2 linked regions of the Lonchura striata genome follow. The protein of the gene in region 1 purifies or fractionates together with the protein of each later gene. This does not show direct contact. Links are inferred from orthologs where the notes say so. Each region holds a gene or a part of one and is shown in the gene's direction. Other genes may lie near its edges.

What was found. Proteins that work in one complex are often made in the same cells at the same time.
Region 2: the proteins of DHX8 (region 1) and NKAP purify together in Homo sapiens (co-immunoprecipitation; 3 studies listed by BioGRID and IntAct, with this or other methods). This does not show direct contact. The link is inferred for Lonchura striata from reciprocal best matches to the Homo sapiens genes DHX8 and NKAP.

Annotation. Positions count from the first base shown.
Region 1 is NC_134627.1:6,041,996-6,049,852, reverse strand, and holds the start of DHX8 (ATP-dependent RNA helicase DHX8), read left to right. Parts: upstream 1-4,485; 5' UTR 4,486-4,532; coding exon 4,533-4,644; intron 4,645-4,956; coding exon 4,957-5,042; intron 5,043-5,630; coding exon 5,631-5,703; intron 5,704-6,032; coding exon 6,033-6,118; intron 6,119-6,717; coding exon 6,718-6,827; intron 6,828-6,915; coding exon 6,916-7,227; intron 7,228-7,509; coding exon 7,510-7,654; intron 7,655-7,857. Other genes in the region: NBR1 (next to BRCA1 gene 1 protein), read left to right, coding at 441-510, 1,217-1,322, 1,708-1,881.
Region 2 is NC_134616.1:9,031,505-9,039,580, reverse strand, and holds the start of NKAP (NF-kappa-B-activating protein), read left to right. Parts: upstream 1-4,932; coding exon 4,933-5,168; intron 5,169-5,512; coding exon 5,513-5,593; intron 5,594-5,973; coding exon 5,974-6,047; intron 6,048-6,260; coding exon 6,261-6,380; intron 6,381-7,121; coding exon 7,122-7,167; intron 7,168-7,554; coding exon 7,555-7,670; intron 7,671-7,819; coding exon 7,820-7,895; intron 7,896-8,076. Other genes in the region: ZBTB33 (transcriptional regulator Kaiso), read right to left, coding at 4,722-4,746. UniProt on the Homo sapiens protein: Acts as a transcriptional repressor. Plays a role as a transcriptional corepressor of the Notch-mediated signaling required for T-cell development. Also involved in the TNF and IL-1 induced NF-kappa-B activation.

The DNA of each region.
Region 1 (7,857 bases):
ATCAAGTAAAGATTTTAGTTTTTCTCTAGGTGTTGAACTTTTGCTATGTGGATGTTGCAAATAAAGAAATAATTGACTTTGTAGATCAGTTAAGAGCATCTATTATGAGAAATGGTAAGAAGATACTCAAAAGTACATACAGGCATCTGGAAAAATCCCTTGCTATGGAATTGATGAGCTATGTATTTAAGCTGCTGTTACAGTCACTGAGACAGCATTTCCTCTTGTGTTAAACACCACTGATGAATCAGTCATATGGTTCTGAAAATCTTCTGACTGCTTTCACTGCAGTGAGAATCCTGGATACCTGGTCTACATAACTAAACTTAGAGTATTACTGTTGTACTGAGACACACTTTTTTCTGTTTATGTATGTGTGGCATTTCTCCAGCTTAATTGTCATTAACTGGACATGTTGACATTTTGTCTTCCTCTTCCAGAACCCAGTGGTGAAGATACTCATGGGCCAGGATCTTCTGCATTTCTCACTAAGTTCACAGAATACCCGAGGTAATGAAGGTGAAGCTCTGACTTCACAAACACTATTTTAGACTGAGAACAGCTTAATTAGACACCTAGGAAAAAGCTCTGGCCTACAGATTTCATATAGTCACTAATTTAAGAGAGGCCTCCCTTCTTAAAGCAAACATGCTATGTTTTCACAAGATCTTGGTTTCTATTTGGGCACAAATCAAAAGGATGCAGAACTGGCAAGCCAAAGTTAATGAAGAGCTTGAGTTGAATGCTTCTAAAATTCTGTGGGTTTTTTTTCTAGAAAATCTCAGCATTCTTAGGATGATGATTTTACAAGCTAGCTATAAAGTAGTCTTAAAATACTGAGATTGGAGAGGTAAGTCAAAATGTTGAGTAGAATATGAAGTAATTTAAGTATTCATAGAAAACAAATAGAAGTTAGCCTACCCTGAATGGATGTGTCAGTGCACAGCTTTTATGTAGGTGTGTTCTCTTCTAGATGAGAGCACTGAACTCTTTACAAAAGGTCCCTTCATGGAAAGCATACACCCACAATTCAATAAGAGGTGTCAAGAAAAAGGAATGAGCTTCTTGCACAGCTCACTTCCCAAACACTGCTGATTCCTTTGGATCACGGGCTGTTGTCTCCAACAGTCTTTGCCTCAACAGGCAGCAATTTGCCTTTCACTGATACAAACCCTTGGCTTTACTGACCCTAAAGCAGCACCTGGTCTCCTCACAGGTACCCTCAAGGCAGCAGCATTGCAGGAGAACTCGTGAAAGGAGCTTTGTCAGTTGCTGCTTCTGCCTACAAAGCATTATTTGCTGGACCACCCATTATTGAACAGGTGAATGTCTTTCTGTGTGCTGTGTGAGTACCATAGAATGATAACCTTCAATTTACAGGTGTATGTTTTTTAAGTGTATCAATATTCTATATTGGAGTTAATGTAAGAGTAAAATGTTAAGTTTGATGGTGTCTCTTTGAGGTTTGCTTCTCTCAGCAGACTGGGAAATCCTTGCCCTAGGGATGAAAGCATGCCTCTTGTAGCATTATGTAAGAGTAATACCTCACTTTCATAAGTGAGCAGTGAAAGGGATTATAAATAGCTTAAATGGGGCCAGAAGAGCCTCTGTGCCTCAGTTTGATTCTAGTATAATGCAGGGCTGCTAGTTCAAATGGCAAAAAATAAATTAACTTTTTAAACTAACCTTACTCCCTTTTGTTTTCAGCAGCCTGCAGCTCCAGAAGAGCAGACTGCCTCTCTGCTGTCCAGTCTGTGTGAGATGGGATTCTGTGACAGGCAGTTAAACCTGCAGCTGCTGAAGAAACACAACAATAACATGATTGAAGTGGTGACTGAATTGCTTCAGATCAGTAACAGAGACTGGTGCAGTAGGTGCTAAAGCTGCCTGGTGGAGAGAGGAATATTCTTCATTGAGTAAACTCTGATTAAAGATAGCGAGAGTAGCAGGCTGCTCCTCAGCTGCTCTGTTTGGAGGTTTGACTTAAAGCTTCAGCTTTTCTTTGAGCATTTGACTTCTTTTTCTTTTTACCCTCATGGAAATGTCAAACAATCCTTGTGGCATCTCTTGAAATGGATACCAGAATTTCAGTTATGATTTGGACCTCTTAGTTAAATGAGTAGTCTTCAAATCTCTGATTTCAGATCAAATCCTTTTACCAGGTAATCATGTAGAATTAAATGTTGTACCCAGATGAGAACTTCCCATTTTATTGTGTATATACTTTTTATTTTAGGCAGCTGGAAATTTGTCGGCTTAATTAGCTTTGGAATAGAAACTGGTGTAAAATGCTGCTCTAAAATGTAGTCCTGCTTAATTTACAAGAGATGCCTGCAACTAGGAGGTTGTTTCTTCTGAGGATTTAGTAACTGGTTTTCCAATGTTTGATAGTAAAGTGACAAATTTAAATCTTAAAAATTATTCTAAGAAAAAGAAGTTGCTCATAAAAGAAAGCCATCTTGAATCATCAAATGACTTTTGAAAAGTCTAAAAGTGTAACTGCAGTTCAACTGATGAATTCCAGTAAAGTTGTTGCTTCTTGTAGCAGAATGAAGCAGGAGAATTACCACCAGCAATTGAACCTCTAATGATAGTGCACACCAGATCCCTAATAGTAGAAGTATAACCTACATAAAACATTTTGTTAAAAATGGAGTGTCAGGGTAGGAAAGCATTTTCTAGGAATCTTTACAGGCTCTTAGTAAAAATATAAAAAATTTGACCATTATCTTTTTTCACAATAGTGCAAACATTTTACTCTGTTAATACCACATTAAAAAAATGCAAGAATGTGTAGGAACCCAGACCTGAACTGGAGTACAAATTTTGGAAATGTTTAGGAATGGAAAGAATGGGTGAAGCAGGGATCACATAACTTTACATTAGAGTTTGAAAAATGCATTAACTTAAGCACTTTCAAATGTACAGTCTCCTCTGATGGTTTTAGCTGGTCCTGTGTTTCCATAGCCACATCTGTAGAATTCATTTTCTTATAAGATTTTTAGATACCCAGATTTAATTTGGAAATCTAAGAATTTCCTTCTAAATATGCTGAGAGATTTGATTCTAAAGAATGACATAAATGAGCACCAGCCACTGCTGTGCAGTGGGGTATCCAGATAACTCCTCAGAGTTCAGTCCCTCAGCAGGTGACAGTGTTGGCTATGTTCTTACTTTCGAGTAAACATTTTTTCCTTGCTGCAGTAAGAGACCATTGATTCTGAAGTATTTTATATTGCTCCTGCTTCAAACTAGTATTCCGTTTTGTCACAGTGTCAGTATTGTGCTGACCAGGTTATCAATAATTTTTAAAAAGACTTTAGTACCCATAGAGATAAAATGCCATTGAAATAGTTGAAGAAAACAAATGTATCATACCACTTCTGTTTTAAACCTATTTTTATAGATTGTGGAAGATATACTCTTAAATGTTTATTTTGAAATACAGTAGAAGTATTTTGCAGTGTTTCCCATCTCTCTGTACACCAGTACAACTATGTGCTGTGGACCAGTTAAAGATCCTTCTGTAACTTTCCACCTTCGGTGTGTTGTTTTGAGTATCTTTTTACTAATGCCAGCTGTAGAGCAAGGAGGAGGACGGACAGGGGTGAAATGCAGAAGCTGATGAGACTTTGAAGCACAGTGTGGTTTTATATTTGCTGGGGTCTGTCAGGCCCAGCAGGACCCACGTTTGCCATGTGTACCTTTGTATTTGGGATGTTCATATGTTCTATAAAGTACAAAACTAAAGCATTTGAAGTGGAGCACTTCACTGCAGATTGAAGTGGCAGGTGTGAGATGCTGTTCTCTTTAGGCTCCTTTTTCCTAGAGTTTAGATGCTGTATGCTCAGGCTTAAGATAGCTATATTTCTGTTGGCTTTGTATATTTTGCTAATGGATGCATGATATAATTTATAATATATTCTACAGAGCAGATGTGACCTCTGTGTCTCATTTCGGGCGAGCACAGGCGCTGGGGTGGGGTTCGTAGCCGAGCTCCTGCCGCGGGCGGCGGGCGCGGCAGCCCGGCCGCTCCTCGCCGCTGCCTGGGGCGCACTCAGCTCCTCGGGCCGGGGCTTCGGCCGTGCCCGGCGGGGTCGGGGACAGAAGCGGAGCCACAAGTCCCGGGCTGGCTCTCCCCCCGCCGTTCTGCTCCGTACCCGGCGTGCCCCGAACGCGACACTCGGGCTACCGCAGCTCGCCGGCCTTCGCTGGGGACGGAAGCGCCTTTCCGCTTTGGTTTAGGGAAAGCCTTTGCACGGCCGCGCCGATTCGCCCAGCAAGGCTCGGTGCCCAGCAAATCCCGCCCGCTGGCCCGGCACGGCTCGGTCTCATCATCCCGGCAGGGCCCGCTCCGCTGTCCCGGCCCCGCTTCCGGCCCGGCCCCGCTTCCGGCCCCGCTTCCGGCCCCGGTCCCGGCCCCACTTCCGGCCCCACTTCCGGCCCCGCCCCGCTGTCCCGGCCCCGCTTCCGGCCCCGCCCCGCTGTCCCGGCCCCGCTTCCGGCGCGTCCCGGAAGCGGCCGCGGCGGCCATGGCGGAGCTGGCGGCGGCCGAGGAGCTCGCCAAGCTCGAGTACCTGTCGCTGGTGTCCAAGGTCTGCACCGAGCTCGACAACCACCTGGGCATCAACGACAAGGACCTGGGTGAGCGGGGCGGGCGCGGCGAGCTCCGCGCACGGACAGGGCGGGCTTGCTCAGGGCCGCAGCAGCCCTTTCCGCGCGGCCGGGTGCGTTTTGTGAAGGTGCTTTTCGTTAAAAAACAGTATTTTTCTTAAAAAAAACCAAAACCTGTGAGCCTGAGGGAACGCTGCGATGTGGGCTGCCGGGGAGAGCCGAGGAGCAGCTCCCCGGGCCCGGATGGTCCCGCACCTCCAGAGCGGCTTCTGCCACACGTGCAGTCCTTACTCTGCTTTTTTACGTTCTTGCTTCAGTTTACTTTGTGCTTTTTCCTCACAGCCGAGTTTGTCATAAGTCTTGCCGAGAAAAATACCACGTTTGACACATTTAAAGCAATTCTTCTGAAGAATGGTGCTGAGTTCACTGTAAGTGGCGCCTGAACCTTGTTTATGTGTTATTCTTGTTGTGCCATATTTTATAGAGCTTTCCGATTTAAAGAGAGTTATGAGCAGTTACTATTGGTTTTCTTCAATTGGAAAACTGCATACTAAATAGCTTCTGATATTCCTGTCTCCTCTGCCTTCCCCTTCCTCGTATTTTTAAAAAATTTTGTAGTCTTTGAAAAGCCTCTTCCTGAGGACTCAAGCTGCTTATTGTTGTGTTGAGCATATAAAATACGGAAGAAACAACTTTTCATGAAGGCAGATATCATAAGTCTTCTTAGGATGCTTATATGCTGTATTTATTGATGTCTCAGGAATAATTGTGCTTGGATTGAATAGTTGATTAAAATTATTAACAGAAAAAGACAATTAGGATAATTTCATCTAAGTGACTTGAGTTCAACTTACGCCTTTTTAGGGCATACACAAAGCCCAGTGATAGTTTCTAAAAATCAACCTGCATCTTCAGAATTGAGCATATTTTGTTCTGCGAATAAACCCCCACTCGTGCCTTGTAATAATGAAAGTGTTGCAGTCATTTCCTGAAGTATTTTACTGATTTTTTTTCAGGATTCCCTCATCAGTAACTTGCTCCGTCTCATCCAGACGATGCGGCCTCCACCAAAACCATCCACGAGCAAAGGTAGGTGGGGTGAGACTGGTGCAGCTCCTGCTGTAGTCTTGTAAGGCAAATCCTCTTGCACCATGCTTGCTGCTGCTGTTATTCTGAGGGTGCTGCTCAGAGTGGTCAGTCTTTCAAATATTCACTAATAATCAGAATTTTCTCTGAAGGAAGGCAACACGGTATTCCTTGAATTGAATCTCTGTAAAAGCTGTATCAGCCTTTGCGTTCAGACAAAAATTAAACTTTATATTCAATTACAGAAAAACGAAGAGTGAATTGTTGTAGCAGTTCTGAGTTTTGTGTTTCATTGTGCTTTTTTTTTTCTTCTTTTTGAATCTCAAAATTAGAGGCAGTTGTCAAACCCAAATCCGAGAAAGAAAAGTTGAGGGAATTGTATCCAGCCCTTTGCAGGCCAGACAATCCCAACATCAGGGTAAGGTTGTAATTTCAGATTTCTTTTGTGACTGTGTGAAAACTTTTTTTTTTTTTCCCCCAGTCAGTTTCAACCTTTTTTCTCTGTCTAATGCATGAATAAATGTGAACTTTGAGAAATAAAATACGGAAGAGGTAGAAGGCTGGTGTTACTGCACATTGTTGCAAAGAATAGGTGTTAGCAATTGCCATGTTCATACTGTTTTGCAAAATATGTGGAGGATGAGACTCTTGTGGCATGAAATTTGTAGCCTGGCCTTCCTTACATAATGTTCAAAGTAATGATGTGTTGCAAACTAATTAAAAATGTTGTATATTCAGATGCTATGAGGGACTTGCATTTTGTATTTCTGTAACAATCTGAGGCATTGAGATGGAACTTTCTATTGTATAAAAGCAGAATTGTCTCAATATTTTGGCCATACAGGGAGAGTGCTTTATTATTTTCTTTCTTTATCACATATTGAGTCTGATCTTTTTTTATCTTGCATTCTTTCTAAATAGGTACACATATGATGATAATTCTGTAGATTAATTCTTTGTGACAATCTTTTTATCAGCCCTTTTGCAGAAAGGAGCATCAGTTTTTTGTTCTTGCAGAATATGCTGGATGAAGATGATGTGAAAGTGGCAGCTGATGCCCTGAAAGAACTGGAAGCTCTGATGCCCAGTGCTGACAGGCAGGACAAGCAGAGGGACAGCGACCATCGGTAGGAGTCTTGGGGAAGGGGGAAGGTCTTGGCTGCTCTCCTTGCCTGAGGTGAAATCCACTGCAGAGATCTAAATTTGGTTTGTTAGGGCGAAGAAAAGGAAGAGGAGCCGAAGTCGTAGCAGGGACAGGAAACGAAGGCACAGATCTCGCTCCAGGTCCCGTTCCAGGACTTGGGACAGGAACAGGGGAAAATCCAGGTACCGGTCGAGGAGCAGAAGTTGGAGTCCCAGTAAGGACCGCAGGGATCGGGAGAAGTACCTTGAAAAGAGCCATGAGAGGTGGAGAGACAAGCACATAGACCGGCCACCGGCTGAGGAGCCGTCCATCGGGGACATCTACAACGGCAAAGTCACAAGCATAATGCAGTTCGGGTGCTTTGTGCAGCTGGAAGGACTAAGGTACCCTTGGCTGTTTACTGCAGATCTGTTTCAGCTCAGGTCTCTTTTCTGCTGGTACCTTAAAGATGTGATGAAGCTACCAGCAGTTGTTCTGGGCTTTGAAGGGCTGTTTCAGGAAAGTGAGTTTAACAGTAGAGAATTAGAAAATTCTTGTTACTAAAACTAGTTTGTGGACATACACAATCTGTTGACAGCAACATATTTTAATGTAGTTTCTGAGTGATCTGAAGGGCTGTCAGAGCAGTAGTGTGCCCCTCTCATGCCCCTCTGTTTCACTCCTAGGAAGCGCTGGGAAGGCTTGGTGCACATCTCAGAGCTGCGAAGAGAAGGACGGGTTGCCAATGTTGCTGATGTTGTGAGCAAAGGACAAAGAGTGAAAGTCAAAGTGTTATCTTTTACTGGATCCAAAACAAGCCTGAGCATGAAGGTACAGAGGTGCTAAAATTCTTAAAATGATTCCTCTTCTAGCTATTTTTCACTCTTTTTGATGAAAATTAATACATAGCCATTCAGTTGGGAGTTAAAAACTGAATTACTGTTCTGTATTTAAATGATCTATTACTTTTTACACATTTTCTCTAGTTTTGATGTAGTGTTCCTAACAATTTCTTGTCTTGATATGATATCAAA
Region 2 (8,076 bases), on another chromosome or scaffold:
GATACACAGTTTTAACAGCATGACAACATTCACATATTTACTGGCTACTCCTTCTTTAGGAAAAAACAAATCTGAGATACTGTTCAGAAGATCATGTGCTCCTGCACTCTGCAAATTTGTTTCCTATTGTTGTTTGTCCTTTCCTCTTCTCCATAAGGTTACGTGGAATTCTGAATATATCCTCTGTTCTTACCAAGGTTCTTACAAGGTGAGGAAAAGAGAAACAACACCTCCTCTTAAGCAACAGCAAGTAAGTTTAATTATAAAACCAAGAAAATGTAAGTTTTGGGTCCCAAAAACAGCTTTAAACATTATTAGTAATTTATTTTTAATTGTGAAATATTCCATAGGTTGTTATGAGAAAGCCAAATATCATGAAGTTATTTATGGCCAGACACCAGAATCTGTGTGTCGACGTATTACCAATCAACTGAGTTAATGAAAACGCTATGGATAGTGCACTTACTTCCCCAGAAAAATAAACTTTTTTTAACCCCATGTCACATATTTGCAAGGCTTTGTATTTCAAACCGAGACTCGGAAGCAGCACCGTAGCGAAGCAGACCTGCTAAGTCAAAGTAACCTATCCGTCAGCACTGCCCATTCAAAGCCCCCCAATAACCGGAAAAAAGCAACATCCAAATGCAGTACAGCGAGTCACGGGCTCTAATTTTACCCGTAAAACTTATTTCCGCAGGCCAGGCCGGGCCGGGCCGGGCCGGGCCGGATGAGACGCCGCGGCCGGAGTCGCGGCCGGATGAGTCCCAGCCCGGGGGCGCGTCCTGGCCGGCTCCCCCCGACCCCGGGCCCGGCCGTGAGAACCGCGCTGCGGGCGGGGCCGCCGAGGCAGCAGCGGCCGGTCCGCGGCCGGAGGCCGAGCGGGAGCGGCGCGCTGACAGCGGCGGGCCCGGGAGCGGCCTGGCAGCACCGGGCCCGGGCTGGCGGGCGGCCCCGCCGCCGCCGCCGCCGGCGGAGCCGTGCCGAGCCCCCGGCCGGGCGGGAGGGCAGCCGAGCCGCCGAGCCCGCGCTCCCCGCGTTACCTGCGCCGCGCTCCGGCCCCGCGCCCGCCGCGCCGCGCCGCCGCCGGGGGGCGCTGCCGGCGCTGCCCTCGGCTCTGACCCGAGCGGCCTCGGGAACCTTCGCCGGGGCGGGGCCGGGCCGCTCCCGCCGCGCCGCCCCGCCCCGCCCCGCGCCGCCGGCGGCCCCGGGGCCGCGGCTCGGACACACCGCCCGCGTCGCGCCCCGAGGAGCGAGGCCCTGACCCTGCCTCGGCGCAGGCCGGCCCTGCTGCGGCCCTGGCAGCTCCCGGCCGGCTCCCCGCGCTCCGTTCCCGGGCGGAGGCGGCAGCGAGCCCCGGCGCTGCCTCACGGCCGAGCGCGGGATGAGGCCGTGCGGACGCTGTTTGCCGCTGGGTCTCGTTTCCTTCCCGGGGCCATTGGCGCTGCTCTGCCAACGCTGACGCAGCCGGCACCTCCGCCCAGCACCGAGCGGAGCTCAAACCCACACCTGAGCACCCTTGCTGCTGCTGCGGGAGCATTTCTTTGGAATTCTTTGCGCCACAGGCACACGTGTTAGACTCTGCCAGCAGCCGCACGGACATGTACGGCTTTGGCACAGAGTGCCTTTGACCAAATGCGACTCTCGGCACATTAGCCGTGTGGCCACTGGAGTGACACATCCACAGCACGGCCTCTGGGAAGCTGTTGCTGTTCAGGAATGCTCGAAGAACACCGAGATCATAAAAGATACTTTTTATCTGTGGTTACTCGTCTGTTCCTTTTTTTTCCCCTCTATGCATTCTGTGGACTTGAACCACAGGGGCTCCTGATTTTCCTTAAGATTTAAAAACTTTGACAAGAACGAATGTCCTGTCAAGTTCGATGACAAACGTAACAGGCCACAGTCACTGGCAGACATGACTGCAATCCTTCACCTTGTAAATCAGCAATGAAATGGTCCTGCCAGGTTTATGAACAAGAAACAAATAACAATTTCTTCTAGCAAGAATAATCTTTCTTCTAGCAAGAAAATCACCTGCCAGGCTCCTTGTATCTGTATAGCTAGTAACACAAATGCCTTTCTGAATTGAGGCTTCAGATTTTAAATGTTACAAAACCAGTTTCTGTTTATTTATAGGTTTTACTAGAGAGTCAATTGCATGAGGATAAATATTAGAAAACACTCATCAGGAAAAACATAGGCTTTTCTTCCTCACATGATCCTTCAATTCTTTTCTCCTTTGATAGAGGTTCTTCGTAATTTTTACCCATGAGGCTATATTAAATGAAAATAATACTATAATTGTTTAAATACTTAATCCAGTGCTTTTTTTCTCCTCCAAAAATGTGTGATGGCCCAAATTAAACAATTTTTTAGCCTTGCATCCTCCAGCTTTAAGGATTTCTATTCTCAATACCTCATCCAATACTAAATAGCTAGCAGGAAAATTTACAGCCACAGATGAGCACTTGGAAGGATTCCTGCTCCTAAGGCATCACCAGATCTCAAAAATCAGGTTTAAACCACTTATTCTTAGGCACTGAAATGCTGCCTGATTTAAAAGCTGCTGGGAGAGCTGCACCATCTCCTTGACTTTTACCTTTCTCACAGCAGCTTTTCTCTATGGCAAGTCCTTCTGTCAGATAAAAAATCTGAACCCCACGGTCACACTGCTGCAGTCAGGACAGAGTTAATGCTCTCCCCAGCTCAGCCAATTTGACTGAAGCTGCCACCATCTTGCTGCACCTAAAAGCTGAATTTCGGTGTGCATTTTTTTTTGTCAGCATGCATCTCCTATTTTAGGGGTTGTTCTTTCCACTTTTATGTTCAGATAAGCGTCGAAAGTGTTTGATGGTTCAAGTCACATAAAGCCTTACAATATCAATAACAATATAAAAGAACCATTTTATCTAAGATAAGAAACATCCAGGATATAGAACTACATGTGGTTGTCTTGGAACTGAAAATGTAAGAGACCCAATAGCAACTTTTATCTTAATGTATAGAAGTGATCAAAAAAACTTTGGGGTGGAGGCTCTGAAAATATGAAGTACAAATTTAAAGAAATTTATGTGCAGGCCTTTACAAGACGACAAAACAGTATGTAATTCAGTAACGAGTTTTCAATTAAGCAACTTGAGAAGCTTTTTTGTTTTTAAAAAATCCACTTTGCGAGAATAGAAAATTCTTTTAAAGAACTGACAAATTTGAAAGACAAAGTAACATTCTCCTTCATGAAAACAAGTATTTTACATTAAAGTAAATTAAATTTTATAAGCAGAACAGTTAAGGGTTTTCAATAAAAATTGAAATTCAATAGTTATCCTACCTAAGAGTACCTTTAAGGACAGAAATATTCTTCACTGTGGGAATTCAAATAAAAAATCACTGCTTCTGAAAGACTCTAAAATACAAATTTTCACTGTTTATGCCTTGAAGGAATCTCTGAGACTATTTCTCCTGCCAATCCCATTATATAAAGCTTCATATATCTGAATTAAGAGTCCAGTAATCTTTTTATTGACATTAGTAGTTGTTGTAGATGCTGTTATGTACCGCATGACATTATGACTTGTTTACAAAAGCACTTCAAGTCACCTAATGGTATTAGGTAACACAAGTGCAGATTGCTCCTGAGGCAGATGTTTTAGGCATCATTTAATCAGATCTAAAATAATCCAAAATTAGTTTGCCGAAATAATCAAAAGAAGGGAGAATATACGCTGTCCTCACACAGACACAGGTGACAGTAGTGGGAATTTCTGGTAAATCTTTTCCCTCCCTCTACTGCACATGGTTCCGTGTACCCAAATAAATACACAGTTTAAATAGGCTTCCTCCATCTTACAGGGTTTTTTAAATGCTGTTTATGGTAGGTTTAGGAGCTAAAATACTGCTCCATTTGTGAAAAAGAGACTGGCATACCCTGACATAATTTCTAGACAGCATAAACCAGCATGGGCTTCCCAGGGTGTAGCAGCTGTCCAAAATGCCCCGTTTACACGGAGCTGGCCAGACCCAGCGATATCGCACTGCATTTCCAGAGCTGAGCAGAAACTCGGGGTTTATTTAAGAAAGCTCCGTGGTAACGTGGTCAAACCTGAGGGGGAAGGGCGCTCACAGAAGAGTGGATGTCTTATCTGAATATATAATTTGTATCATCTTTATGGATAAAGGTTAAGGCTGGGAAAGACTTAAGATCATCAAGTCCAACCTGAACCCAGCGCCAGCACCACGTTCACCATTACACCATGTCCGTAAGTGCCATCTCCACATGGTTTTTTAATATTTCCGGGGACAGTGACTGCACCACTTCGCTGTGCAGCTTATTCCTGTGCTTGATAACCTTTCCCATGAAAATAAAAATCCTAATACGCACCCTAAAGCTGCCCCGACGCAAGCTGGGGCCGTTTCCCCCGTGCTGTCAGTTCTGCCCTGAGCGGCCGCACCGGCAGCGCCGTGTCAGGCCGCGGGGAGGTGCCGGCCCCGAACACGGGGCCGGGCCTCGCCCGGGCCGGGCCGTGCCAGGCGGCGCCGGGCCCGGCCACGAACGGGAGCCCCGCCGGGGCACGCTGAGCTGTCCGCGGGGCAGTGCTGCTCCCGGGCCGCCCTGGACAGCTCCCGGGGCCGCGGCCCCGCGCCGGTGCCCGCGGAGCGGGGCGGAGCCGGGCCCGGGCCGCCACCGCCCCCCGCCCGCGCCCCGCGCCCCGTCCGCGCCTCACCTTCGGCCGCCGTGCGCGCGTCCATCGCTGCCGGGCGGCCGCCGCGGGGCACAAAAGGAGCCGCCGCCGCCGCCGCCGCCGCCGCGTTGCCGGCCGGGCGGGTGGGGCGGTGACCCCGCGGGCGGGGCCGCCCCGCTCCCGCCCCGCTCCCGCCCCGCTCCCGCCCGGCCGGGAGGGCACCGGAAGCGCCGGAAGCGCCTCCGCTTCCGCCATGGCGCCCGCGTCCCGCTCCCGCTCCCCGCCCGCCGCCGGCTCCGAGCGCCGCGGCCGCCGCTCGCGCTCCCGCTCCCGCGAGCGCAATGGCCCCAGGCGCCCGAGCCACCGGCGGAGCCGCAGCCGGTCCCGCAGCCCCGGCGCGCCGCGCTCTTCCGCGCACCACGGGCACCACCACCACGGCAAATGGCCCGAGTACTACGAGAAGGAGAAGGAGGAGATCCTGCGGCAGAGGTGAGCGCCGGCGAGGGGCCGGGGCTGCCCCGCCGGGCCCCGCTCCGCGCGGGAGGGGCGGGTGCCGCGGCCGGGCCCGGTTCTGTACGGTCCCTCACGGGCTCCCCGTGCGTTCCCCGGGGCAGCCGGGACGGAGCTCGGCTGGAACGGGGTGACAGCTGCTACCGCCGAGCCTCTGCGGTGTGCGGAGCTCTGCTGCCTGACTGCCCCTGCCCCTGCTCCTTGCTCCGAGTTGTTTCTTACCCTTCCTGTAGCTGCTTCGGAAACACTAACGCGTAAGACTTAAAATGTTTGTGTGCTGGGTGTTGCAAACTAGGCGTCAGTGTCAGTGTTTTCCTTTACAGGAGACTCAATGAGAGAGAGAGAATTGGAGAACTGGGGGCGCCTGAAGTCTGGGGGCTGTCACCAAAAGTTCCTGACCCAGAGTAAGGCATAGTCTTTCTTCATGTTTTTTATAATATTAATTACATATCAGTTCAGTTTATAAAAATTCTTTATCCCTGCATTAGTCTTGGTGCCACAGTACTTACTGTGTCACTTCCTTTCTGAAGCAGCATAATGAGATTGCTATTTTTTCAACCAAATAATTCCAACATACCAATTATGCAATACATTATTTATTGTAGATCAGGTGATTGTTGTGTTGTGGTTCTGACAGCAGTTCCCAGGCTAAATTATTTTTATAATATCTTTGATATTTTACTCCTTTGCAGGGATTGATTCAAAATGTCTTTGATCATTTGTATACCTTTGATCTTGAGTACAACAAAACAGATTTTAAGTAGCAAACTGTTATTTTATTCAGTTCCGATGAGCACACGCCAGTAGAAGATGAAGAGGCAAAATCTAAGAGTAGTTCTTCGGATTCCAGCTCAGAAGGTATTTTGTCTGGCTTGCACAGCTTTTTCAAAAATGGGAAGCTACTGTGGCTTAGAATCTGCTGCTGCTTGCAGGAGGTTCCCTGGCTTAGATGGGTGGGAGTGGTTGGGGTGGGCTCCAGCCCAAAGGAGAGCATTGCTTTGGGAAGATCAGGGAATACATATGGAACCAAGTGTTCTTTGTTCTCTAATGTTATGTTTAAAAACATTCCAGAGGAAAAGAAGAAAAAGAAGAAGCAAAAACAAAAGAAAAAACGTAAAGCATCCAAAAGAAAGCGCAGGAAACATTCTGAGGACAGCGACAGTGACTCAGAGTCTGAACAGAACTCCAGTGGTAAGACAAGAGGGTCTCAGCTTGCAGTGTAGCCTCAGGAAATTGGATTTCTGAATTTAGCATCCACTGGGCCTCTCATGCCAGAGATCTCTTTGATATGTTCTCATATCGACCAGTACTGCAGGGACCTTTCTCCTAACACTTTCCCAGTATAAACAAGTCCCATCAGGATGTGTACTAGGGCATGCTGGAGGAGGCAGTTAGTGCTGGGAATAGGCTCAGGTTTAGGGTAGTGGTTTGGTTAATTGGTAGGGGTAGTGGTTAGTATAATTCTTAGCAGTAGGGTTAGGGGAGTGGTTAAGCTTAGGGCTGAGAGAGTGAAAGAGCCTATAGCTCCAGGAGTACTGAGACTGGAAAAAGCATGCCAAGGCAATCCCAGCAAGGCCCCAACATTGCTTTTCCTACATCATTCTGACCTGGAAAACCCATATTATTGAGTTTGGGTTAGGGCTAGGGCTTAGGGTTAGGGTTGAGCGAGTCACAGGAACATTGGGACTGGAAAAGGCATTCCAAGGTGATCCCAGCAAAGCCCCAACTGTGCTGCTCCTACATCTTTCTGATCTTGACCACCACCCCTGGTGATGGGGTTAGGCTTAGGGCTAGAGTTGAGAGAGTCAAAGAGCCTACAGCTCTGTGAATACTGGGGATGTAAAAGGTATGCCGTGTTATTCACAGGGCAGTAAACTACTTAGTTATAATTAATAATTTATTTTTGATAATACATACACTTTCTTTTTTCAGATGAAGATAAAAAGAAAAGCAAGAAGAAGAAAAAGAAGAACAAAAAGTAAGTGTTGTGGTTGCTGTATCATTTTGGCTGCTGTTGCCTGGAGGGCAGCTCAGTTTTCTTTGCAGGCCCTCAGGGAGCCTGAGGACCTTAGGTCATTTGCAAGAGCTGGCAAATAATATTATTTTGATAGTTTTTATTTAAATCTACACAATTGTGCAGCATAAACAACTTTCTGTATAGCCACTTTCTAACACTCTATGAAAGTTAAAATAGAACATATATATTGTCTTGGCTTTGGTGTAAAGTGTTTTGTATGAAACAGCGGACAGCATTCTTCCTATAGGTGGAAGTTGCCTTGAGAAACTAATTATTTGAGTATGATTCCAAGCACCTTCTTTAATCTTAAATTTTGATAAATAGCATGTCTGTCTGGCTTTACCACAGGAAGAAGTATAAGAAAAAGAAATCTAAGAAGAGCAGGAGGGAATCCAGTGATTCAAGTAGCGAAGATTCCGATGATGAAATGCTTCAAGGGGATGATCTCTGGATAGAGAGATCAAGTAAGTTCACCTGACTTTAAACTTGGATGGAAACTTCTTGATGTCCTTTTTGTGAATTTGTTGTTAGGTGTTGCTGACCTGTATAACCTTTCTGATAACAAAGAATAATGGATACAAGATTAATCTTCCTCATTATTTGATTGTTGCAGAAAATACTGAAGCTGATAGTTTGATTGGACCAGAGGCTCCCAAAACTCATGCATCTCAGGATGACAGGCCTTTGAAGTGAGTAACCAGCTCTAATGATACTTTGATCAAATAAAGTAAATCAAGTGTGAAAGTTACTGTTCGAAAGGGTTGTTGCAACAATAAGGCATGCAGAGGGAGAAATGCTGTGCCAGAAACTCACAGACAGAAGTTCTAGTGCTGCTAGGCTTTCCCTTGGCCTGAATTCGGGTAGAAGAGT